Daphnia pulex: one gene and its partners. Each later gene encodes a partner of the first gene's protein in a complex. Links are inferred from orthologs where the notes say so. Each region holds a gene or a part of one and is shown in the gene's direction. Other genes may lie near its edges.

Region 1 (7,354 bases):
ATGGGGAATGATTGTGTTCCTTCCATTCACCAAGTTATGTACTTGAATATTGCCTGTCACGCTCGAGGAAGCTATGACTTCTTCCCCATTCGCCGAGAAGCGAGCCTTGTGAATGGGAAATTCCTTGAAGGTGATTGACTGAATTTTAGCATTCAAAGATCCGCCAACCTAAATTTAAAAAATAATAATTACTTATAAGTAACTCACATAGCATATGACAAGTGTAATATAAAATACCTGGAAAAGTGTAAGTACTCCAGAATTTCCTCCTACAAGAGCAACACTTTGCTTTTTATGGAATTCGACAGAACTGATGACCCGTCCTTCTGCTCTAGTTTCTTTATTGATATCTAACATTCGCGAAAATTTAATTATTTCTTGCGGCAAAGAAATAGAATCCTTCCTTAAAAGATCTGTGGCGGTCTAGATATAAAGTGACAAAATAGTATCATTAAGAAGATCATGCAACTCCAGTTACAATTTAAGTTTTACTTTGGTCAGATCCTCTTTTTCATCGTCACTGTCCTGGTCTTTTTTTCCCTTTTTATTCTCTAGTTGAGCCCATTTAGGAGTAACCTGACCATGAATAGATGCAAACCTTTTCTCCAGGACCTGTTTGTATACAGTTTCTGAAGTGGCCTTTTCACCAACCAGTCCCTTTTCTTTTTGAAACTGTACATTTTTACACCTATTAGAATACAAATAAATCAATATAAAATGACAAACAATTATTTAAATAAATAGTGTGATATCTTACTTTAAATCTTCATCATCTTCATCAACCCAGACTGCTTGCCTTCCTGCTGTTGAACTTAAACCTAGATTTTTACCATAGACATCTTCTGGAAGGGAATCTTTCGCTTCACTAGATGCTTTGTTGGAGATTTGTTTTCTCAATTTTTTTTTTGAAGCAGAACTTTTGCTCGTATCTTTTTTAGACTGGGGTTCTTGTTCCAGTTTCTTAAACAATTCCCCAAATAGCAACTCTTCCAGTCTCTTTTCTTCTCTTTCCCTATAGTCAATGCCCAAGACTTGAGGTTTGGATTGTTTCAACTTCTTACTTTTTGGCTCCTCATGAAGATCTTCATTTTCATCAACATTTGGTAAATCATATCCATCCAGGGCTCCAAGATCCAACTGAAACTCTGTAGACTCAACTTTTAGTTGCTCGTCATTCTTTGCTGGTTTCGGTTTTGAACTTTTTTTCTTAAATGTGCGTCCCATCTTAAGTGTTATTTCTTCGTTTGTTGCACCTTAATAAACACGTGCTTGATGGCTTGGGTGCTTCTAAACTTGTAATTTTCAATTTGAACTAAATTCGTCTGCAACAGTCATTCCAAACTCCACATCCACTTTATCTGAAATAGGTAAATAGTGGGAGCAAATCCCAAGTTGGCTAGACTGGACAAGACTGGACTCGCCAGGGACTCGCAGGCTAATGAAGACTAATGAAGTAATTGGTTAGCGAATTAACCATAAAAATAATGAGGTAATATGATTTATTACTTTTGTATATTATCAAATAGACACCAACGAAAATTTCTTCTGAATCTTGATTTTATGACTTGTCCGGCTGCATTCTAGTTTCGCGCATGATTAGTAGGCCTACAGCAACCTACTAATGTATCCTACCAAGTTACATTCCCTCTGATATTTTTCAATGAAAAAAGAATCTTAAACTCTACGATATGAGACTTTAATTTTTTTATTTCCGTTGGTGAATGAAATATTTGAAATAAGAATAAGAATAAACGCGCAAACATCTACAGATCATAGAATTGGAATTTAGAAAAGTGATTAGTTAAGAATAGTGTGTCGATCATAAATATGTCGACGTTGTTCTTGAACAGTTTTCTTCCACTTATCAGTAGTTTGGCCAACACGGTTGAGCACACCTGCTCCACTTGCCCTTAAAGGTTGAGAATGGGTTTCACTTTCATCCTGTAGGATAAATTAGTTAAAAAGATGATTGAAGGAAGAAAAGGGAGAAATTTATAGAATACCTCTTCATTATTATGTTCTTGATATTGTGTAGTGGTTTTCTTGTTGAGAAGGGGATCAAGACAAACAAGAAACAGCATGTATATGACTAGTAGAGATATTATCCAGATAACAATAATTACAACAACCTGAAATTTAAAAAAATTTATATTAGAATAGTCTACAATACATTATGTCAACAGTTTTTTTGCCTTGATTGTTGTTGTGTTCCTGCTTTCGTACTTGCATTCACATCGTGGACAAAATTCTTTTTCCTTTCCTTTGATATCATCCCCTACCCTTGGGAGCACAACATTTGTACAATCACATTTGTTAGGTGGAACATTTTCAATGTAAAGTTTTCTATGTGACTGAGTTCCGTTTACTACGGCGGTATCTGGACAAATGCACTTGCATCTGACATCCTCATACTGTGCATTCACCTATTAGGACAAAAACAAACAAAACCAAAATCATTAAATTTCTAAGCAATGTTTTCTTAATAGTAAACATAAAAATCAATACATCACTGATGAATGAGAAGATGAAAAGGACGAAAAAAGAAAGAAAGAAACTCTTTCGAAGTGTCATAATTGCAGCAAAATCCGATACTGATTTGTCGGAAACAAAACAGCTGACAGACTGTCGACCACAGCTTGTGGCGCCAACTGGTTTGCTATTTAAAAAAAAAAAGAAACATTGTTTTTGTTCAAAGAGGAAATGGGTCGTTAAACATGTATTACAGCAATAAAAATTTAAACGTTACTGTGGAATTGAAATTTAATTACTTATTCTTTTTAGTTCTAAATAAACTTTTCTCCATTTTCGCCACTTAGGAGCCCCCATCTGACAACACTGTTTTGTTCCTAGCGCGCCATCTCGAAATTCTACTGTTACCTAAAAACGTGCCCAACTCTGTCGGCTGCGAAGTGCGAACTGCGAAGTTTGGAGGACGTTGTACTCGAAGTAGTGGAAAAGATTGTGTTAAAAGAATCAAGAATTCAAACTATCTGAGTGCACTGGAAATTGGAATATATAGGTATGGCCCATTTCAATCTCATTTAAAATTATGAACTGCTAATGCTAATTGTGTTTTTTTTTGTGATTTTTCCGAAATCCCAGAAATCGTGGGACGTTCATTTTCAGAAGAAAACGATGGCGGATGATTTACCTTTTCGAGCAGAATATGCAAAGACGGGTCGAGCTAGTTGCAAGAAATGCAAAGAAAACATTCCTCAAGGCACTCTACGACTTGCTGTAATCTTTCAGGTAACATTTTATTTTTTATTGTTTGGTTCTGGACTTTGTACACTAGTACAGTATTGTTGTTTTAGGCTGCCAAATTTGATGGGAAAATGGTTTCGTGGTACCACTTTGATTGCTTTTTTGAAAGGCAACGGCCCAAATCAGCTGGTGACATTGAACATTTTGATCAATTGCGCTGGGAAGATCAAGAGAAAATTAATCAGATGCTCAAAAGTAAAACATTACTAATATTGCTATACATTGTATTTAGTTGATTTCTAACTATTTCCTTTTTCCAAAGAAATCAGTGAAGGTGGGATTGCTGAACCAAGTAAAAAAGGAAAAGGCAAGGGGAAAACAGCTAAAGTTGCTGAACCCTTTTCTGATTTTCTAATTGAGTATGCAAAATCTGGGAGAGCTGCATGTCGAGGCTGCTTAGAAAAAATTGCAAAAGTATTATAATCATTAAGTGCAAGTTCTAAAACGATCCATGTTCAAACATGTCTATAATGTTCAAATTGTAGGATGAATTGAGGATATCAAAGAAAGGATACGACACCAAAGGAGGCATGAGACATGGACAAATGTTGGATATGTGGTACCACGTCAAATGTTTTAAAGAGCGACGAGAAGAATTAGAATTTGTTAGCGGAGTGGATACAATCCCTGGATTTAAAGATCTAACTGCCGACGACAAAAAAGTTCTCTCAAAAGAACTCCCTGCTCTTTCCGCTAAGTATTGACAAGAATCGAAATTTGGAAAATCATGTATTATAACGGTTTCTTTTTTCAGCAAACGAAAAGTTGACGGGGATGCTGTCGACGGACCTTCGGATGCAAAGAAGATAAAGAAAGAAGAAAAAGAAAATGAACAGCTCAAGGAAGAGATCAAGAAGCAAAATAAAATTCAGTTTAAATACAGAGACCAGTTGGAAACTCTGACAAAACAAGAACTCCAGATTCTGCTGGAATACAACGATCAGCAAATTCCTTCTGGAACATCTGAAGTACTTGCACTTTTTATTAATATTTTTATTTTCTTCTGAGTGTTAATCAATATGTCGCATAGTTAAACTATATGCAGCTATTTATCTTTTTAGATGTTGGACCTTCTTGCCGATGTAATGGCGTTTGGAGCTTTGCTTCCATGCAATGAATGCAAAAGTGGACAGTTTTTCTACAAGTGATTAAAATAATAGAAATTTCAAGTCGGTAAGCCTTACCTATATAGATTTACTTCTTCTTCTACAACAGGAGTGGCATGGGTTATCAATGCTCTGGAAACATGAGTGGCTGGACGAAGTGCCCCAACTCGACAACAACTCCCGAAAGGAAACCATTCAAAGTTCCATCGGACCTCTCGGAAAATTACTCATTTTTGTAATAAGGCTGTTGTTGCCATACATTAAGTTACTTTCTAAACTTCATTCTTCTATAGGAAAAAGTACAAATATGTTCCCGGACAGAGGGTAATCCCAGCGCTAACTCGCACTATTCGTATGAATCCAACCGAAGAAGTGAACGTGAAAAAAGAAAAGTAGCTATTTACTCAACTAGATAACGTGCTAGTTCTGTCTATTAATGTTTTCTTTTTCTTTTAGATCCGATTCGAAACGCCCACCCACACTAGAAGGCTTGAAATTCATTCTTGATTCCAAGCTTGAAAAGTCTAAAGAAAAAGTCGAAGCTGAAATAAAAAAATTACTAGGTTCTGTAGGTTCGCGCGTTACCGAAAAAATTGCAGCCGTAATTTCTACGAAAGGTTAGAAATTTGAGTGGGTAGTTTCTCTTATGAGATTAAGCCTTTATATGTGGTATTACTGTTTTACAGACAATTTAAAAGAAAAGGATTCAAAGTTGAAGAAAGCGTCTGAACTCGGTATTCATGTTGTAGACCTTAGCTTTTTGGATGCAATCAAAGCAAGCACTGGCGAATCTGCCTCATCCATTATAACGAAGAAAAACATCGCACCATGGGATTGCCACAGTGTAAATTTTTTTTCTTTTATTGCCCTAATTTTTGAGATTTTTTAAAAACTGTAATAAATCTAGATCGAGAAGCGTCTTGGTTTGGACGAGTCGGGTGCCACGAAATCTTCTGGAAAATCGAAAGGCTCAGGTTGGTTGGACTGTTTATTACTTTTAATGTTTCCCAGTAAAAACTGTAGTATAAGTATGGGGGAGTCATACGCTTTAAACTTGCAAGTAAATCAAGTTCAAGGTCACAACTCAATCCTAAATTAATTGAGTCGTCTGATGACTATGAAGGGATCCAAGTCTGCCCTCATAGACAGATACGCGACTAACATATTTGTTGATTTATTTCACGCTAAAAACGAAGCTGAATCTCGTAACTAAATTGTGTTTTCGTTTGCAGAAAAATCTGGTTCAGGCATGTCCGATAAACTGAAGCTGAAACTTAAAGGAGGAGGAGTAGTTGATCCCGATTCTGGTTTGGAAGATAAAGCACATGTCCTGAAGACGAAAAATGGTCTGTACAGCGTTGTACTTGGGATCGTTGACATTCAAGGTGGAAGAAATTCTTACTACAAGCTTCAAATTCTTGAACACGACAAAGGAAACAAGTAAATTGGCTTCGCTTCCCCCAGTGGCAATTGTAGATAACAACTATAATTTTTTTTTTTTTTTTTTTTTAATTCGACAGGTGGCATGTATTCCGTGCTTGGGGTCGAGTTGGTACAACGATTGGAGATACCAAGCTAACTAAGATGGATACCAAACAAGAAGCAATAGAGGATTTTGTTGCTCTGTACGAGGAGAAAACTGGTAACCTTTGGGAAAATCGAGATAATTTTGAGAAGCAGCCCGGAAAACTCTACCCTCTAGATATTGACTACGGAGAGGTATTTTCTATTTTTCTTGTGTCTTTTTGAAATTACGTAATGACATCAATTTTTTAAAATGTGATTTCCACACTTTCAGTCAGAAATAGATTCACGTATGACGATCGCCAATTCGACATCGAAGCTTCACCGATCTATTCAAGAATTGGTCTGCATGTTATTTGATGTCGAAGCTATGAAACGGACGATGGTAGAATTTGAATTAGATCTAACCAAGATGCCTCTTGGTAAACTGAGCAAGAAACAGCTAGAAAAGGCGTACGGGATTTTAAGTCAGGCTCAGGAAATGTTGGATTCGAAAGATGTATCGAAGACTAAATTCCTCGATATCTCGAATCAGTTCTACACACTCATTCCGCACGACTTTGGAAGAAAAACTCCGCCTGTTCTTAGCGATAACGAAATCATTAAGGTAATGGATTAACTCATTGTCCTTCCAGCATGATGTAGTATAATCTCGATTTGTTTTCTAGTCTAAACTGGAGATGCTTGAGAGCTTGATGGAAATCGAGGTGGCCTTCAGCTTGCTGAAAGCCGGCGATGCTGTTAAGGATAAGGATCCCATCGATGCCCACTATGAGAAGCTTAACACTGAAATTGAAGTAACAATATTTATCCCTTTCATGTTTTGTATTACGTATCATTGCTGATTTTTTAAATTATCTCTAGGTTTTGGACAAGTCTTCCGAAGAATTTAGTGTTATTCAAACGTATGCAAAGAATACTCACGCAGCAACTCATACTCAATATACTCTCGAAGTGGAAGAAGTAAGTAGAAGAGTTTAAGTAGTTTCACGCTAGGACTAGCAGTTAACTTTTTCGTTTTCTTTCCCAGGTATTCAAGGTGGTTCGGAAAGGAGAATCGAAAAGATTCCGTCCGTTCTCCAAATTACCCAATCGCAAGCTCTTGTGGCACGGATCTCGTGTTTCCAATATGGCTGGTATCCTATCTCAAGGGTTGCGTATTGCCCCACCTGAGGTAAAATTACATTTATTTGTTATATATTTGACTTTTTTCTTGATTAACCATTAATCCTTTCTTTATTTTGGGTGAATTTTGATAGGCTCCAGTCACTGGTAATTTCTTCTTGGCTACTCAACTATATCACGATGATTAAACTTGTTAATGCTTTTGTTGTTTTTAGGCTACATGTTTGGCAAAGGTATTTATTTTGCTGACATGGTTTCAAAGTCTGCCAACTATTGCGTCACTTCAAAGAGCAATCCTGTTGGTATGTTGTTACTCTGTGACGTAGCGCTGGGCA
Region 2 (7,146 bases), about 4.4 Mb from region 1:
AGACGGATTTAGATTTAAATAGCCCGCGTATTATTTCCCTTTTTGTTGTATGTCGTAGCTGTCCGCAGTCTAGTCTAACGTGAATTTTCGGGAATCCAAATCTGGGCTGATTGTTGTTGTTTTTTTTTCTTCCATCGGTGGGGCGAAACAGTTGACGTACGAAAAAAAAAGATGTTTCGCTCCTCGGAGGGAGAGAAAAACGTGTATATAATTCAATTTCACGCTTGTCTGCGACGTCAAGGATCAGGACGGAAATGAGGCAATGTAAGATGGACTCTCTTCATCTTTTTTTCTGTACTTCATTTTTCCTCTTTTTCATTTTTTTTTTTTTTTTTGCTTTTTTATTCTTATAGGCTTGGAAGACTTATATGATTTTTCTCCCTCGTGTAATCGTGTATGTCAAAAGGAGCGCCAGCGGCAGACAAAAGGGACGTGATGAGTTTAGGCGAATGAACTCGATCACAAGGACGGCGGAGATGGCAGAGTAGCTACTCTTCTCCCCCTTTCCTTCTTTTTTTTCGTGAGTCGAATTCCGCCTTCTTTTTATTTTCTTGTCTTTTCCCAAGCAATTTGAGACCAGATGAAACGACGAACTGCCACTATGTATATACCGCGAGTGCTGCCCTGTCGCGGTAGACGTCTCTTTCCCATCTCTCTCTTGATTCGATTCGATTCTCCCATTTTTCTCGCGGATTCCTCCGGCCTTCCATCATCTTCTTCTTCGGTCGCCAATAACCGTGAATTTCATTTCGACCAATATGAATTTTTGTTTTAAAAGCAGATCTGAAAATAAATCCAGCGGTCGGCAAGGGGGGTGAGGCCTACCGTTTCGATCGATACAATCGGAGGAACAAACGAATAGGAAAACTGGTTCCAACAAAGGAAAGACGATGCGATATCTGTTATGGATGTTATAGTGTATAGCTCTCCAGCAGCCGTTGTAGATCCTCTTGTTGTTTGTGTTTGACTCTCTTGTCGATCTCTATCACAAACAATAAGCCTAAGACGTCGTCCTATAGTCTCTCACCTTTTTATTTTTCAAACACGCGCGAGTCAACCGTTACCCAGAGTCAGACAGACGGGGGCTGATTATTTTATTTTTTATTTTTTTTTCCCGTTTATTATTTCAACGGGAAACTTTTCCATCGGGGGTAAGACTACATAGCTGAGGGATCCCAAAGTTTCGGATGGCATATCGAAAGGAGTTGGCGCTAATAAATATCGGATTGCGTTACGATGTCTTTTTTTCAAGCAGGAAGCGCCGGGCTTGAAGAAGAATGGCACTTTTTTTTTTCAATTCCCGCGGGAATTCACAAATCTTTGGCGCGCCATCGCATTTTCTCTAGCCCCCTTGACTATGCGCATTTGTTGAAAATTTATTAGCCGATTTTATTAGCCGGAGGGGGTTAGCCATTACTGTCGTCTATCACGACACCCCTACAGCGCCAAATCTTCTCCCCTCTTTGTTACACCGACCCATTAACTCCGGGAGTGGCAAATTTCTTTTCTTTTTTCTCTGAAAAAAAAAATGGATTGAACATGATGAAATTCAAAACGGGTGGTAGATATGGAAAGCAAGAGCGGAGCCAATTGCGCAGCATCCAATTTAGATGATGGACGCGGTACCCGCGCTCGCGCTGACATCCAACAGCGTGCAAATGAAATTAAAAGTATATACATACGCGCCAAGCGTCCCTCCCCTGGGCTATTACAGGCCAATTGGATTTTTCCACCCACCCTCCGTCGTTCACCAAGTGATGAGCTGCAAGTGAATCACGGTGAAGCGTTGCTGGTGGACGCTCAGCAGCAGCAGCAGCAGACGGCACCGTGAGAGAGAGAGTTGCCAGCAGTAGTTTACAGGTTATTTCAATTGATCATGGATGGCCGACAGCGCGTGGACGTCGAGATGGACCAACGGGGTGTCAGAGAGAGAGAGAACTAGAGGAGATACTGTATATAGCCACTGGCCATGTGTGCGCGCCATGTCATCAAACATTTAGCGAATCAATAATGAAGGCGGCGAAATGGGGAAGATGGAAAGAAGGGGGCAAAAAAAGAGAGAAATGAAACTTGATGGGATTCTGCATTGATTATTGAACCGAGGATTTCAAATAATAGATGAAAACACGCAGACACACAAACATATATACGTCTACAACACATCGACCGGTTATTCTCTCTCTTTATTCTAGCTTTTTATTTTTTTCCCGTCTTTTTCTCATTTCGAAAAGAGTGGGCGCTGGCGCGCAGCTAAACGCCGTGAGAAAGGAATCAAATCAAACCACTTAGAGATATATATTTTTTGGTTGTTTCGTTTTTAAACTGGCGATAATCCTTTGAAGTAAAGGACCCAGATGTTGCCATACTTTCCGCTCTACTTGTTTCCATATTGCTTCGTGTGATTGTTCCAGTTGGGTTTTGATTTGAGCGAGCGGTTTTGAATGCCTTGGGAAATGTGTGGCAGATTCTAATATGAACGAAAAATGACAGTTGGGGGGGACGACGTGATTTTTTGTACGCCATCTGGCATCGGGAAAAATGGTCGTTCACAATTTTGCTGCCATCTTTGGCGCGGTTCACCAAGTGTACTCACCAAACCATGGACACATGGAGGAGATGGTTCCCACTCACCATGTTCATTTTCCCATAAGGGGTTATCCGCTCTTGAGTCGATCCATAAGAGGGCTGTGTTAATTTCAGGCATGTTGTCCCTAATCGAGATTTTCGACCTTTTCCAGACCTGGCAACTCAGCATCCTAACGTTGTCTATTTATTTTAAACATTAAAAATTGTTCCACTCAATTTTACCAAAAAATCTTTTGGAACTCAATTCGTTATAAGTATTGATAATACACTGAATAATTTTTAAATCAATATAACGTCTACTTTATTTATGAAAATTAATTCATGGGCAGTGTTTAGTTTACATGCCATTTACATGGCAACGTGATTACTCAGCAGACGATTTTTCAGTTTAGTTTTGGCGGTTATGTCGCTACATGAACACAAGTTTCGGTCTTAATTTTCATTGTTTGTAAAATAATTGTTTTGTTTTATAAAATGGTAACACCTTTCATGAAAGCAGAATTAACTGCTGCAGTTACCAGTTTGGGTTATACAGAAGGAAATAAATATTTCAAAGATCAATATTGCCTTGGTAATAATGGGATTTAATTGAGACCATCTCCTGCACCAAATGTTGTAATTTCAAACATTGCATTTGATTCTTTTGTAGAGGCCTTGAAGGATTTGATTCGCTATCTTCGAAGAGATGACGATACCATCGGAATCAGAAGAGAACTTGGACAGATGAAACTTGTTCAGACTAATCTGATACCTATTCTTTGTGAATATCACAGTGATGAAGCCTTGTTTGATGTTGCACTTCGTCTTCTCGTGAATCTAACAAATCCAACCCTGTTGTTATTCAACGAAGAGATGCCAACTGATAAAGTTGAGAGAAACTATTACCTGCAACATGTTGGCCATTTACAGAGTTACAAACCAGTTCTAGCATCTGATAAATTTTGGATGGTTTTAACTGATAAACTCAAGCTGCTTTTAGTCAAAGTTAGTTTTTAATTTACTCAGACTTACAAATAAATTATCCAGCTAAAATTATTCCACTCTTTCAGGAGCCAGAAGATCGAATGGAAGATGACAAGCTGTTAACAGAAAGAATTCTCATTTTGATAAGAAACATCCTAGATATCCCTGTTACACCTGAAGACGAAAAAAGAACAGATGATGACGCGAGCGTACACGATCAGGTATGATACAGACTTGATTAACGATTGACCGTTCATTCACAGTTTTCATTCATTACTAAATTAAATATTCAGGTGCTATGGTCCATGCATCTCTCTGGAATGGAAGATGTTATCATTTATCTCGCGTCTAATGAAAATGAGCGTCACTTTTGCATGCATGTTATGGAAATCATTTCTCTCATGCTACGTGAGCAGAATCCCGCTTCTCTTGCTCAAACAGCTGCCCAACGTTCGGTTGCTGAAAAACAGAAGGACACGGAAGAACTGGTAGCCATGGTCCAAAAAGAAAGCAGCGAACGGGAAGCTAGATACAAAAAGATGACCGCCTCTAGAAGTTCCATATTTCGTGGAACTTTCTGCGTGAAAGATGTCAAGTCGATCACTGACAAAGACCTAATCGTTCACCGAACTTTGACTGATGGTAAACCCATCGATTTCCACCAGAATAAGACAGGCAAAAGAAAAGCCAAAAACCGGATGCCTCTGCCCAGCTGCAATGTGACACGCAAGTCGACCCTCTCCATTCGTTTAATGCTGAAAGAATTCTGTCTCCAAATGCTGAATGGCGCCTACAACTCCCTGATGCACATCGTCAAAGACTGTCTGGTTCGTTTGAAAACCCAAGATCACGATGAAACTTATTACTTATGGGCCGTAAAGTTTTTCATGGAATTTAACCGCAATTGCGGTAAATTTCGGGTCGAATTGGTCAGTGAGACCATGTCGGTAAGGAATGATTAATTGTGTTTTCAATTACATTAAAAGGAATGATGATAACTTCTCTCTTGGTAGATTGGGTTATTCCATTACATCCAGAACCAGGTTCAAACTTATTCGGAATCAATTACGGTAGACAAGAAGAAAGCTGCTCTGTGGTCCCGTCGGCTCAATGTCGCTCTGTGCGCCTACCAAGAGTTATTGATGACGCTCAACGCCATGGATAAATACGGCTCTGAATCCATCCGCAATTCGTCTCGAGTCCTTAAAAGCAACGTCTTTTATGTGCCAGAATACCGCGAGATGTGCCTCGTTTTGCTCCTCAACTACAAAGAAAATCAACACTCGCTGACTTACCTGAAAGATTTGGTCGAAACCAATCACATCTTCTTGAAACTCTTTGAACAGTTCGCAAAGGGCAATCGTCATCTGGTCGTCCAGAACAAGTCAAAAGTGCCTCAGAAGCGGAAGAAGAGCAAGCCGAAGAAAAAGAAGTCGGAGGAGGAAGAAACGCCCACGCCAATTTTCGACGAGATTGCCGTGGAGATCAGCTCGGCCTTACAAGAAAAACCTTCTTTAACCGACGACGTTGTTCCCTTTGACGCCGCCTCCGATCTCCCGATAGATGATCAAAGGTAAACGAATTTTGGCTAGTAGCAAAGTCACAAATTACTACGTGAAAATTGTTGACGCAATTTATTTCACTATCAACGTAAATCAATTTTGTATAAATTTCACAATTGTATCATTTCTTTTTGTTGGAATGTAGGGTTATAGCCATGGGAAAAATCGTAAAACTGCTGAAAGAATCCAAATCCCATCTGGCTGTGGCTCTACTGCGGGCTTGTCGTGATGTTTGGCCGGAAGGGGAAGTCTTTGGTGCTCCTGAAGTGGGTCCAGAAGACGAGCTGCTTCTTTTACGCGAACTCTATCATACCGAATTACCGCGTAAGTGATCGTAATTCAAATTATTCACAATCATCGACTATTCTAGTTTACCATGGGTGGTTTGCGTTTTAACTCTTTAATGCGTTTAAGAAAAAAATGGAAAAGAACTGGTTGAGCAACTTGATGGATGACAAAGCTACAGCTAAAAAGAGCATTTCTTTCATTAGCTGTTTTGCATTTAAGAGTAATTTCCTTTTATAAAAGTCTTCATCTTAAAAATTTTGCCGTCCTTTTCCTGAGTAGATGTTGCAGGGGAGGAGCCCAATGCCGAAAGCGAAGAAGAAGATGCTGACAACAAAGAAACGGGTACTTGTTCAACTTATTGTACTGTTTGGTATTCAATAAACTTTATTATTTTTACTACAGCGGAAGAAGAAGAGGAGATGTCGACAGTCAGAAGGAGTGAAAAAGAACTTCAATTTGAAGAGTTTATTCGCAGGTAAAATTTATTGTCCTTTTTTTTTCTCTTTTTGAATGTAAAAATAATCGGATTCATTTCTTTGTGCCATCTGGGAATAGATTTGCTCACAAAAACGTCGTCAAAAGTTACTGCCATCTCTTGCGAAGTTACTCCACCAACACAACTTTGACGAACCACTGCGTGATCAAAATTCTCCACCGGATCGCCTACGATTGCAAAATGCCTGCTATGCTTTTTCAGCTGTCCATTTTCAAGACATTCCATAAAATCATGGACGATCCGCGGGCCAAAACTGAAACTACTGTCAAAGTGATTATCGGTTTATTATCATTCTATTCCGATTTACTACATTTAATTTTTTCTTTCGTCCTGTTTCTTTACATAACTTTTTTTTTTCAACTTTTCTTCTTATTGTGCAATTAGGAATTGTACAAGTTTGCTATTTACATCATGAGAAAATTTGCGGAAACGGCACAAGTCAACCCGAAAATCTTTGTGGAACTGCTGTTCTGGAAGACGGCCCGCGAGGCGGCCGAGATCGAAGTTGGTTACGGCAATGTCCAAGAGTAAGAAGCGACACGAAATACTCATTATTCATTTGTCATCTTAATTATTCGTCGAATTTAAAATTAAAATAATCTGTCCTGTTCTTGATCAAAGCCCCAGCTCGCGTTTCGGCTGGAGCGAAGAGGAAGAAGATGAATTGCAGCGGCTCCATCAAGAATTCAGAGACGTCCAAGAAGGGGGTAAATAACGAGCGCTTTTTTCTTTTCCTTTTCTTGTCGTGCTTCCCGGTTATTTTGACATCGAATCCGTCTTGTGATGTCCGAATGGGAAATAACTCTTGAAAAACTTAAACAAAAATCTCTTCCGTTCCCGCCTTTTCAGCCGGCGGTTTTTTTTATTTTAAAAAAGAATGGAGAGAACAACCCCCCTCTCTCTTATAGTTTTCTTCTTTTATTTCACGTGGGAAATGTTTGTCGCCCCGGGACCAAAGTGTTCAAAGGGCGTGAACCAAAAACAGTCCGTGAACAACCCAAAAAGTGTGTCGTGAGAGATATATTTTTTGCTGTGAGATGTCAGAGAAAAGAGAGAGGGGGAGGGTCCTTCCGGAAGCATCCAAAATTAGCCAACTCTTGACAGACGTACATGGGAGAAAACAACACGACGAGAGATAAGAGCAAAAGAAGAATAGGCAGGAGCACGTAAGTGCAAGGGAAGAATATAAAATCTAACGAATGTGTTGAAAACGTGAAACGCCATGTCCGTGACACGCCGCCGACGACCAAC
Region 3 (7,038 bases), on another chromosome or scaffold:
TCGGCAAGGATATGTTGAAAATCTCAAACTTACGATAATGCCCTGAGGTCCAAAATTCAGCAGTCTTTCGCATCCGTAATAGTACGCCCAGCATGGCGAACTGCTTTCCTCGAAGCACTCATCGGCGGTTCTTCGAAGCACTCGATTGAGCATTGCGAATTCCTTTTTGCCATTAAATTACGGCTCACAGCTCTGGAAGCCTTGTGCTACTCTCGTTGAAAATGAAGATTGATGATTGAAATCGGTAAACACAAATACGATCCAGTCGATGTCTTCTACTGATCTGAATCAGTTGAGTGGTTTCAGACCTTTATCACTTTTACCAAGTCGGTTCGTCCTTCCCCATTTTTTTCCCTCGTTTTGCAACAGTAAAGTAGCTGTAGCTGTCCGTGACTGATGACGCGCAAGAATCTCAGATGATGGCTTTTGCTTATAGCGTGACAGAAAATGGACGCCGATCGCAGCGAACCAGTATAGGACCGAGTGAAAGTTCCGTCACTGCATTTCTTTTTGCTATAAAAAAACAAACAAGACAAAGACAAAATAGTTCCCGTTAAAGGACTCAATTCAATTCATGGCTTTTTTCATGCTTGCGTAACATAAAAAGCGTATGAGGGGTCCTTATCGGCGCAGAAAAGATTTAAATGACGTAAAATATTATATTCTAACCATCAAATTTTGATTTTCTACTTGGTAGTCTAGTTCTCACAGAATTGCGTACTTTCTCTCCAGGAATTCGTGTAAAGATAACTAAAAATATTTTTGATTTGTTGCGGGTATAAACTTTTTGGCAAAGATGTAAGTCAGCAGGGAAGAGCTAAGCCGATTTGACAAAGAAATTTATTACAGCCTTTTTTTGGGGGGAGGGGGGATAAAGACACTACGATGACACATTTTCTTTTATAGACCATCAAGTCTGTACAGTGAACTAAATATCTATTATACGATAGCCTACTTTTCTTGAATTGTTTTGCGGAGCGACAAATCATCGCCGATTCTTAAAACCAAAGGAATTGCTTATGGAGACGTTCAAAAGAACTGTCGAAGACTATACTAGAGAATAGTACATTGTTAATATAAAACTGTTCTTTTTTGTGTTGAGTAATTTGGGAGAGAGAATAGCCAGTATTAGGCTCTTTTTTTGTGAAACCCAATATTCGAAGAACACGGAACCATTCCAATCGCACCACTCTTAACCCATTTTAAAATTCACAATTATATTTTTTTTTTGCTCAATACCTGGAAATGGATGAACCACAAGAAACTCGTTAGCGTGTCTTGTTCTCCGAAACGTCATCGGCCAAAAAAGGTAAAGGTGGCCTCTAGTTCCAGTAACTTCACGGGCCAAGTTGACCCAGACCTTCCTCGTTAAATCAACCGCAAACCACAAAATGATTCAGGTAGTCAGGCTGATTCTGATTCGGCCGTCATGATTGGCGTGGAGAACAAGATAAGCTGAAACACCTGAAATTGCGTCCACGGTTTTTCTTTCTTACTTTGGTTACGCAAAGGTGATCAACAATTCTCAAGAAATTGGGGAAAGAGCTGTTTTGTTCTGTACATGCCTAAAGTATACGCCGTACAAATTTTTGTGGTGTTTCTAGAATTTTATTGGCAGCTTTTTAAACAACCTCCATTCGTGTCTGCTCGTAATTTAAATGCCATCAAACTGATTGACTTAATTCAGAGCTTCTACTTCATGGAACCCAAATAGACAGAAGTAATTCATAGCAGCGCATTGACGGTACCGGTAATGTACCGAAAAGGAGGCCGACGGTTGGAATTACAAAGCGGGTGCCATACATCAGCAATTTTATACGTCAAATTCAACATCTGGTCTTGTGAAAGACAAAGAAACAAAGTAATTTGGGATCCTGTAGTGCAGTATCACTTCAAGATACCATATAAGGCAATCTTCAATTATTCGTTGAGGCCAAAAGAGCTAGGAACCATTCCTCTTGCGTTAATTTTGTACAGTAGATACGATACTTGTGATGGTAGTACTATGCCATACTTATTTACAACCAACAAGAACAAAGTTATTCGATTTTGTAACCTGTCGATGATTTAACCCCATAAGATTCGGTTAAAAATTTTGTTTTACAAATGGTGACGTGTACAACCTACAGCGGTACGCATGCTGTCAATAGCTATAGCTATAGTTTAAACTACGATCACTAGATTAACTACTAAATCTGAAATAATTACTAAACATTTTTCTCCCAGAAAGATTACAAAGAGCAAAATTAAAACAAAAATAACTAGGAGAATAAAGCTGAATAAAGTAAAATACAAATACTAAGCTAAGACTAAAATTTGCGCTTTCAAATATCAATAATTATAAATTAAAAACTGGCAACAAAGCATGTTGTTGTTTTTACAAACTGGGGATTCGTTGATCAGCGACAGGAAGAATGGATTCTAAACACGAAGCTCTGAAGAGAAAAAGAATTAAAAGTGATGAAGCGTCATCAGACAGCGACACCGAACCGAAGAAACCTCTCTGTAAATATGGTGAAAAATGCTACCAAAAAAATCTGAATCATATACAGAAATTTCGGCATCCTCACAGAGACAACGTCGTCGTTAAACCTAAATTAGAAGTAACTATTTCAAAGAAAAGAAACTGTATTAGTTAATCAAACATGTTTATAATTATAGGATGAGAAGGGGGAAACAACTGATGAAAGTGTGATTGCTTCAGGCTCAACTGAAATTGTAGAACAAAAACAAACTGGGATTGACGATAGCAATAATCTCTTGGCAAATCAGGAAAGTGAGCCCCAGAAAACTAAATTGGAAGCTGATGATGAATTGCCACCTTCACCTGAAGATGTGAAGGAAAATATAAAGCTTAAGTTCCTTGTTGACATGCCAGATGATTTTTATGAGTTCTGGGCATTTTGCCAATCTATCTGTTCAAAAAATACTTTAGGTAAGCTACATAAATTAAGGTAATATACAATTATTTAAATTCTGAGTTAATGGCCATCTTCAGAAACATTTAAGGATTCTCTTGGACTAGAATTAGTTGGTCCATTTCAACTACTTGAACAAAACTCAAACAGAAGTAAACCAAAGGAAAAATGCGGCAATTCATTGACACAGTGGCGATTTTATTATGATCCACCTGAATTTCAGGTAGAAACTAAACTAAAAAAATGATCCTATTTCCAGATTATAAGATCTTTAACTTTAATATCCTATTTCAGTGTGTAATGATTGATGACCTAAGCAAAGGATTTCATATAGGGTATTTCCGTGACGTCCCAAATGAAATGCCAATGTTTGTTGGTTCCAACACGGAATCAGAAGGCTGTGTTTTAACTCCCATGAGCGATAATCTCTTCTCTGCTCTAAGGTATGCATGTATTGAGAAAAGAAAATTGAAACGCGCAGACACATCACTCTAGGTTATATAATTAATTACATGTTTATATGTAGTCAGATCATATCTGCGAGGATTAAGAAAGCCGACCCGTTTAAAAAAAGCCAACTGGCTACGTTGAAAAAGCAATTAGAAGATTGGGCAAACAAAAATGATATCATAATTGAGCCCCAGAGTGAGATTGTAAAAAAGAGAAAGAAGCTCATGGTTGCTAAGACGTTTTACGAATGTGGCATTGTGGTTCCTGTAGATAAAAAAACACAAGTTGGTTATAGAAAAATACCAGAGACAGATGGTAAGAAGACTTCTTTTCATGTTAATTCATGTGAATTAAATACCGAAACTTATTTTTTTCTCCTTCCTCAGCTAACATAAAAAAAATTTGCAAAAAAATTGTTGAAAGCCCAAATTTGTCTGAACAAAATAAGAACAGTGATGCCCTTCAAGAATTGGTGACTTATGTGCAGTATGCTAACGATGAATCGGACTACGGAATGGGCTTAGAGCTTGGATTAGATTTGTTGGCCTATGGAGGAGATGTTTTCCATCCAACATTACTTCATCTACTGAGCGTTGCTTACGAACTGCTGGAACGCCATGAATTCACCGTTATTCTCCAGGTAATCCGATAACAGTTATTTACCTTGTCTTATTAACAGCTGTATAATTATTTAAAAAGGCACACATGAAAGAAAGACGGCGATTGGCCAAGAACGATGCCGTAAAATAGATGCACTTTTGTACGGTATTTGATTTCAATTTAATGATTATTTCATAAAATGTCTGGAGTGAAGAAATAAATATAATTTTTCTAAAATTTTGTATATTATTTCTTCTCAGACCATCATGATCAGGATACCATTAAAGATTTTGTGTGCCTTCCTTTTTAGGTGCAAACTAAAGCGAAGATCCCCCAGCAAGTTTTGAAACATTTGTTAGTATGGATTGGTTTAAGAAGAATTATTTCAGTCTAGCAAGTAGCAACCCTTGTCTCGTTTGACAAGACTCGCGAGCATTCTCGAAGCTGTTGCAAACAAAAAAATAAATTAAATTAATCTCCGATTTGAATGTGTTAATTTAACTAGATCGAAAAAGAAATCTAGGGAAACGAAATCAAGAATTCAAGATGACTGCAAACTACTGTAAAGTAATCAAAGAAATAGAAAAATTTAATTAATTACCTATTTTTACAAAAAGAAAAAAGAAAGAATTTCGGGTCGCCATAATTCGTCATCGTCATCGTCATCGTCTGCCCATAGGGGGCTAAAATGCGGGATCCGCTGTGGATGCCACCAGGGGGCACCACTGGATTTCAAATAGTCATAGGCTAAAGTTGTGCAAGTTTATCTAGATTTTTATGCTTGTTTTATTTTAAAAATAGGCAATAATGAATTAAATCGAATTTTTATATGCAAAAAAATTAAGAAAATGTTCCTGTATTCTGAAACATTCACGCATAGAAAACATCAAACTAACGTTAAAAATAAAAATAGACGTTAATTCCGAAAAAATAGTCGGCGGATTGTCGTAGATAACTAGACATCCTTTAACAAGTTATAAAACCACGCTTCAATCAGAACCTCTGAGAATCTAATTATAATTAGGATTTTGCAAATAAAATAGGGTCTTATACATGTGTATACGTTTATATAAGAGGGTACACAAGATACGGAAGCACATAGAACGGTCAAGTCCATCAAAGCATGTGATATTAAATATGATTATATGCGGTTATATATTATTGCATATAATTATATATATTTTAATATATAATGTTATATATAAATATATAAAGTCGTATATGCACGTAGAACGGTCACGTCCATGAAAACATGTGATATTAAATATTATTATATGCGGTTATATAATATTGCATATAATTATATATATTTTAATATATAAATGTAACAATATAATGTTATATATAAATATATAGTCGTATATAAATTCAAGGTATTCTCCTATCAAATTAAAGAGATAATTTTCCAGAGGTGACATGAAAATATAATAACTAAGCACCACGTATTTTATCTTGAACGGATCACATCATCGCACTCATAAGTCATAATGTCAATATATAGTTTTAAGTATTTAATGCATTACACCAATTGCATTAGCATTACGCTAGAGCTAGACATTCAAAGATATTTGTACTACCATGTTCGAACCACAAAAAACTGTAGTGGTTGTTCGAAATGCCAAGTAGAAGTCAAGCGGCTCCCTCTGGTGGCCGATTCATGATTTCCACAACACATTCCGCAGTTTAGTCCCTAAAAGACGATGACGATGACGATGACGATGACGAATTATGGCGACCCAAGAATTTCCATGTCAACTTTTCACATATTAATGCTGCTGCTTCATCCTTCGTAATTCGTATTTAAAAAGTTGAAAATATTTTTTATTCCGTTCATTTTTTATTGCATTGTAGAAATTGCGACGTTGCAGTTAACTGTTTCACGGGATAATTGACGTCTTAACCGTCTAATCCATCTCATTTATTTGCTCATTGACTTTGGTAGAATTTGGACCTCACCTCGTACTAATATCTAATACAGCATATATTCACACATTTTCACCAGCGAATTATAGGTGAATTATAATATTAATTATTATACAAAACGCGTGCTGTCCGCATGGTGAATCTGTCCATTCACTGACTGACACAGTGACACGTAATTTATTAATAGACGACGTTCATTGTTGTAGACTTCAGAAACCTGTTGCATGTGTCTAAATTTCTTACTATTTTATTTCTAAAAATTTTATGTGTTTGCTGTTTAAGTTCACCGTAAGCATTATCTTAAATTACAATTATTTGTAGGACAAAATTAACCTGAAAGCGAGGATTGCAGACAAAATCATTTTTCAAAATGAGACGAGTAACTCAGCGAGCTCCAAGAAGGATTGTGGATCGTAGCAATGGAGAATGGGATGAATTTGACCCAAGATTGAATGATTATACTGTCGATAACTTTTATACTTCAGGACCAGGGTTACATTTACCTCCCAATATGCCTTATGCTATGAGGTATGTGTTATATTTAAGTAATTCTTTTTAAATAATTAATTGATAGAGTTCACACAATCATGATTTAAGAAATAGACTGTCTGTGCCAATACTAGTTTAAGATATGTATGTATTGTTAATTAGGAAAACTGCAGTACCCTACAAGCTCTTTGTAAGCGGAATCCATTCTCATACTACGGAGGTAACTTTTTAAGAAAAAAAAATGTCCTGTTTATACCATTTTCTTTACTAATAGGAAGGAATCAGACACATCTTTAGTAATTATGGTCAGCCACTGTCTGTATTCAGGACCAGGAACAAGTTTCAACAACCTATTGCATTTGTGGAGTTTGAAACTCAATGGTAAGTCTTGTATTGCACACAAGATATATTAATCTTCTGTTTTAATATCTTTATTTCTCTAAATTTAGTGAAGCAGACAACGCGATCGTTGAGCTAGATGGAAAACCACCTCTCAACTGGGAGGTGGCCTATGCCATGTCGCGTAAAAGTGAAGAAATACCTTATCAGCAATTTGCTAGTCTCATGCTAGATTCGGATTTCGAAAGACAGACACCAATGTTTCAAACCTCTGGTGTAGGGAAACAAACTTTTCATTCCAAGCAATCTCCTGTTCATA

The links.
Region 2: the proteins of poly [ADP-ribose] polymerase 1-like (region 1) and protein timeless homolog are in contact, whole or in part, in a crystal structure (PDB 4XHU), measured with the Homo sapiens proteins. The link is inferred for Daphnia pulex from reciprocal best matches to the Homo sapiens genes PARP1 and TIMELESS. Residues at the interface, in NP_001609.2 of Homo sapiens: Gln846, Lys849, Pro850, Phe851, Leu854, Arg878, Ile879, Ala880, Pro882, Asn928, Lys940, Lys943, Gly944, His946, Tyr992, Asp993, Ile994, Ala995, Gln996; in NP_003911.2 of Homo sapiens: Asp1036, Gln1040, Pro1043, Val1045, Pro1046, Leu1047, Thr1048, Glu1049, Glu1052, Glu1053, Glu1056, Ser1074, Gly1075, Gln1076, Glu1077, Thr1078, Phe1079, Arg1081.
Region 3: the proteins of poly [ADP-ribose] polymerase 1-like (region 1) and histone PARylation factor 1-like are in contact, whole or in part, in a crystal structure (PDB 6M3I), measured with the Homo sapiens proteins. The link is inferred for Daphnia pulex from reciprocal best matches to the Homo sapiens genes PARP1 and HPF1. Residues at the interface, in NP_001609.2 of Homo sapiens: Thr825, His826, Asn827, Ala828, Arg865, Met890, Lys903, Asn906, Tyr907, His909, Ser911, Gln912, Gly913, His934, Lys953, Ser983, Leu984, Leu985, Tyr986, Glu988, Thr1011, Ser1012, Leu1013, Trp1014; in NP_060337.2 of Homo sapiens: Asn234, Val236, Asp261, Arg264, Leu265, Phe268, Gln272, Glu273, Thr276, Phe277, Gln279, Phe280, Asn282, Asp283, Glu284, Cys285, Tyr287, Tyr304, Lys307, Val308, Gln311, Leu315, Leu319.

The regions. Positions count from the first base shown.
Region 1 is NC_060024.1:8,491,400-8,498,753, forward strand, and holds the start of poly [ADP-ribose] polymerase 1-like, read left to right. Parts: upstream 1-2,861; 5' UTR 2,862-3,019; intron 3,020-3,102; 5' UTR 3,103-3,135; coding exon 3,136-3,249; intron 3,250-3,314; coding exon 3,315-3,459; intron 3,460-3,526; coding exon 3,527-3,678; intron 3,679-3,749; coding exon 3,750-3,961; intron 3,962-4,018; coding exon 4,019-4,232; intron 4,233-4,325; coding exon 4,326-4,408; intron 4,409-4,479; coding exon 4,480-4,605; intron 4,606-4,663; coding exon 4,664-4,762; intron 4,763-4,826; coding exon 4,827-4,987; intron 4,988-5,056; coding exon 5,057-5,214; intron 5,215-5,277; coding exon 5,278-5,344; intron 5,345-5,602; coding exon 5,603-5,810; intron 5,811-5,890; coding exon 5,891-6,089; intron 6,090-6,168; coding exon 6,169-6,501; intron 6,502-6,562; coding exon 6,563-6,691; intron 6,692-6,758; coding exon 6,759-6,857; intron 6,858-6,924; coding exon 6,925-7,068; intron 7,069-7,153; coding exon 7,154-7,166; intron 7,167-7,234; and 1 more. Other genes in the region: U3 small nucleolar RNA-associated protein 18 homolog, read right to left, coding at 1-168, 238-423, 493-688, 758-1,224; uncharacterized protein CG1161-like, read right to left, coding at 1,798-1,941, 2,004-2,129, 2,193-2,423, 2,506-2,571. UniProt on the Homo sapiens protein: Poly-ADP-ribosyltransferase that mediates poly-ADP-ribosylation of proteins and plays a key role in DNA repair.
Region 2 is NC_060024.1:12,851,032-12,858,177, forward strand, and holds the start of protein timeless homolog, read left to right. Parts: upstream 1-2,933; 5' UTR 2,934-3,060; coding exon 3,061-3,157; intron 3,158-3,235; coding exon 3,236-3,570; intron 3,571-3,635; coding exon 3,636-3,770; intron 3,771-3,842; coding exon 3,843-4,496; intron 4,497-4,562; coding exon 4,563-5,122; intron 5,123-5,256; coding exon 5,257-5,435; intron 5,436-5,678; coding exon 5,679-5,741; intron 5,742-5,801; coding exon 5,802-5,874; intron 5,875-5,954; coding exon 5,955-6,165; intron 6,166-6,279; coding exon 6,280-6,422; intron 6,423-6,516; coding exon 6,517-6,602; intron 6,603-7,146. UniProt on the Homo sapiens protein: Plays an important role in the control of DNA replication, maintenance of replication fork stability, maintenance of genome stability throughout normal DNA replication, DNA repair and in the regulation of the circadian clock.
Region 3 is NC_060018.1:1,957,071-1,964,108, reverse strand, and holds histone PARylation factor 1-like, read left to right. Parts: upstream 1-2,339; 5' UTR 2,340-2,414; coding exon 2,415-2,603; intron 2,604-2,661; coding exon 2,662-2,935; intron 2,936-2,998; coding exon 2,999-3,141; intron 3,142-3,212; coding exon 3,213-3,361; intron 3,362-3,444; coding exon 3,445-3,683; intron 3,684-3,754; coding exon 3,755-4,008; intron 4,009-4,067; coding exon 4,068-4,118; 3' UTR 4,119-4,133; exon of another isoform or gene 4,134-4,278; 3' UTR 4,279-4,450; downstream 4,451-7,038. Other genes in the region: proton channel OtopLc-like, read right to left, coding at 34-153; uncharacterized protein LOC124201785, read left to right, coding at 6,262-6,419, 6,543-6,600, 6,655-6,761, 6,830-7,038. UniProt on the Homo sapiens protein: Cofactor for serine ADP-ribosylation that confers serine specificity on PARP1 and PARP2 and plays a key role in DNA damage response.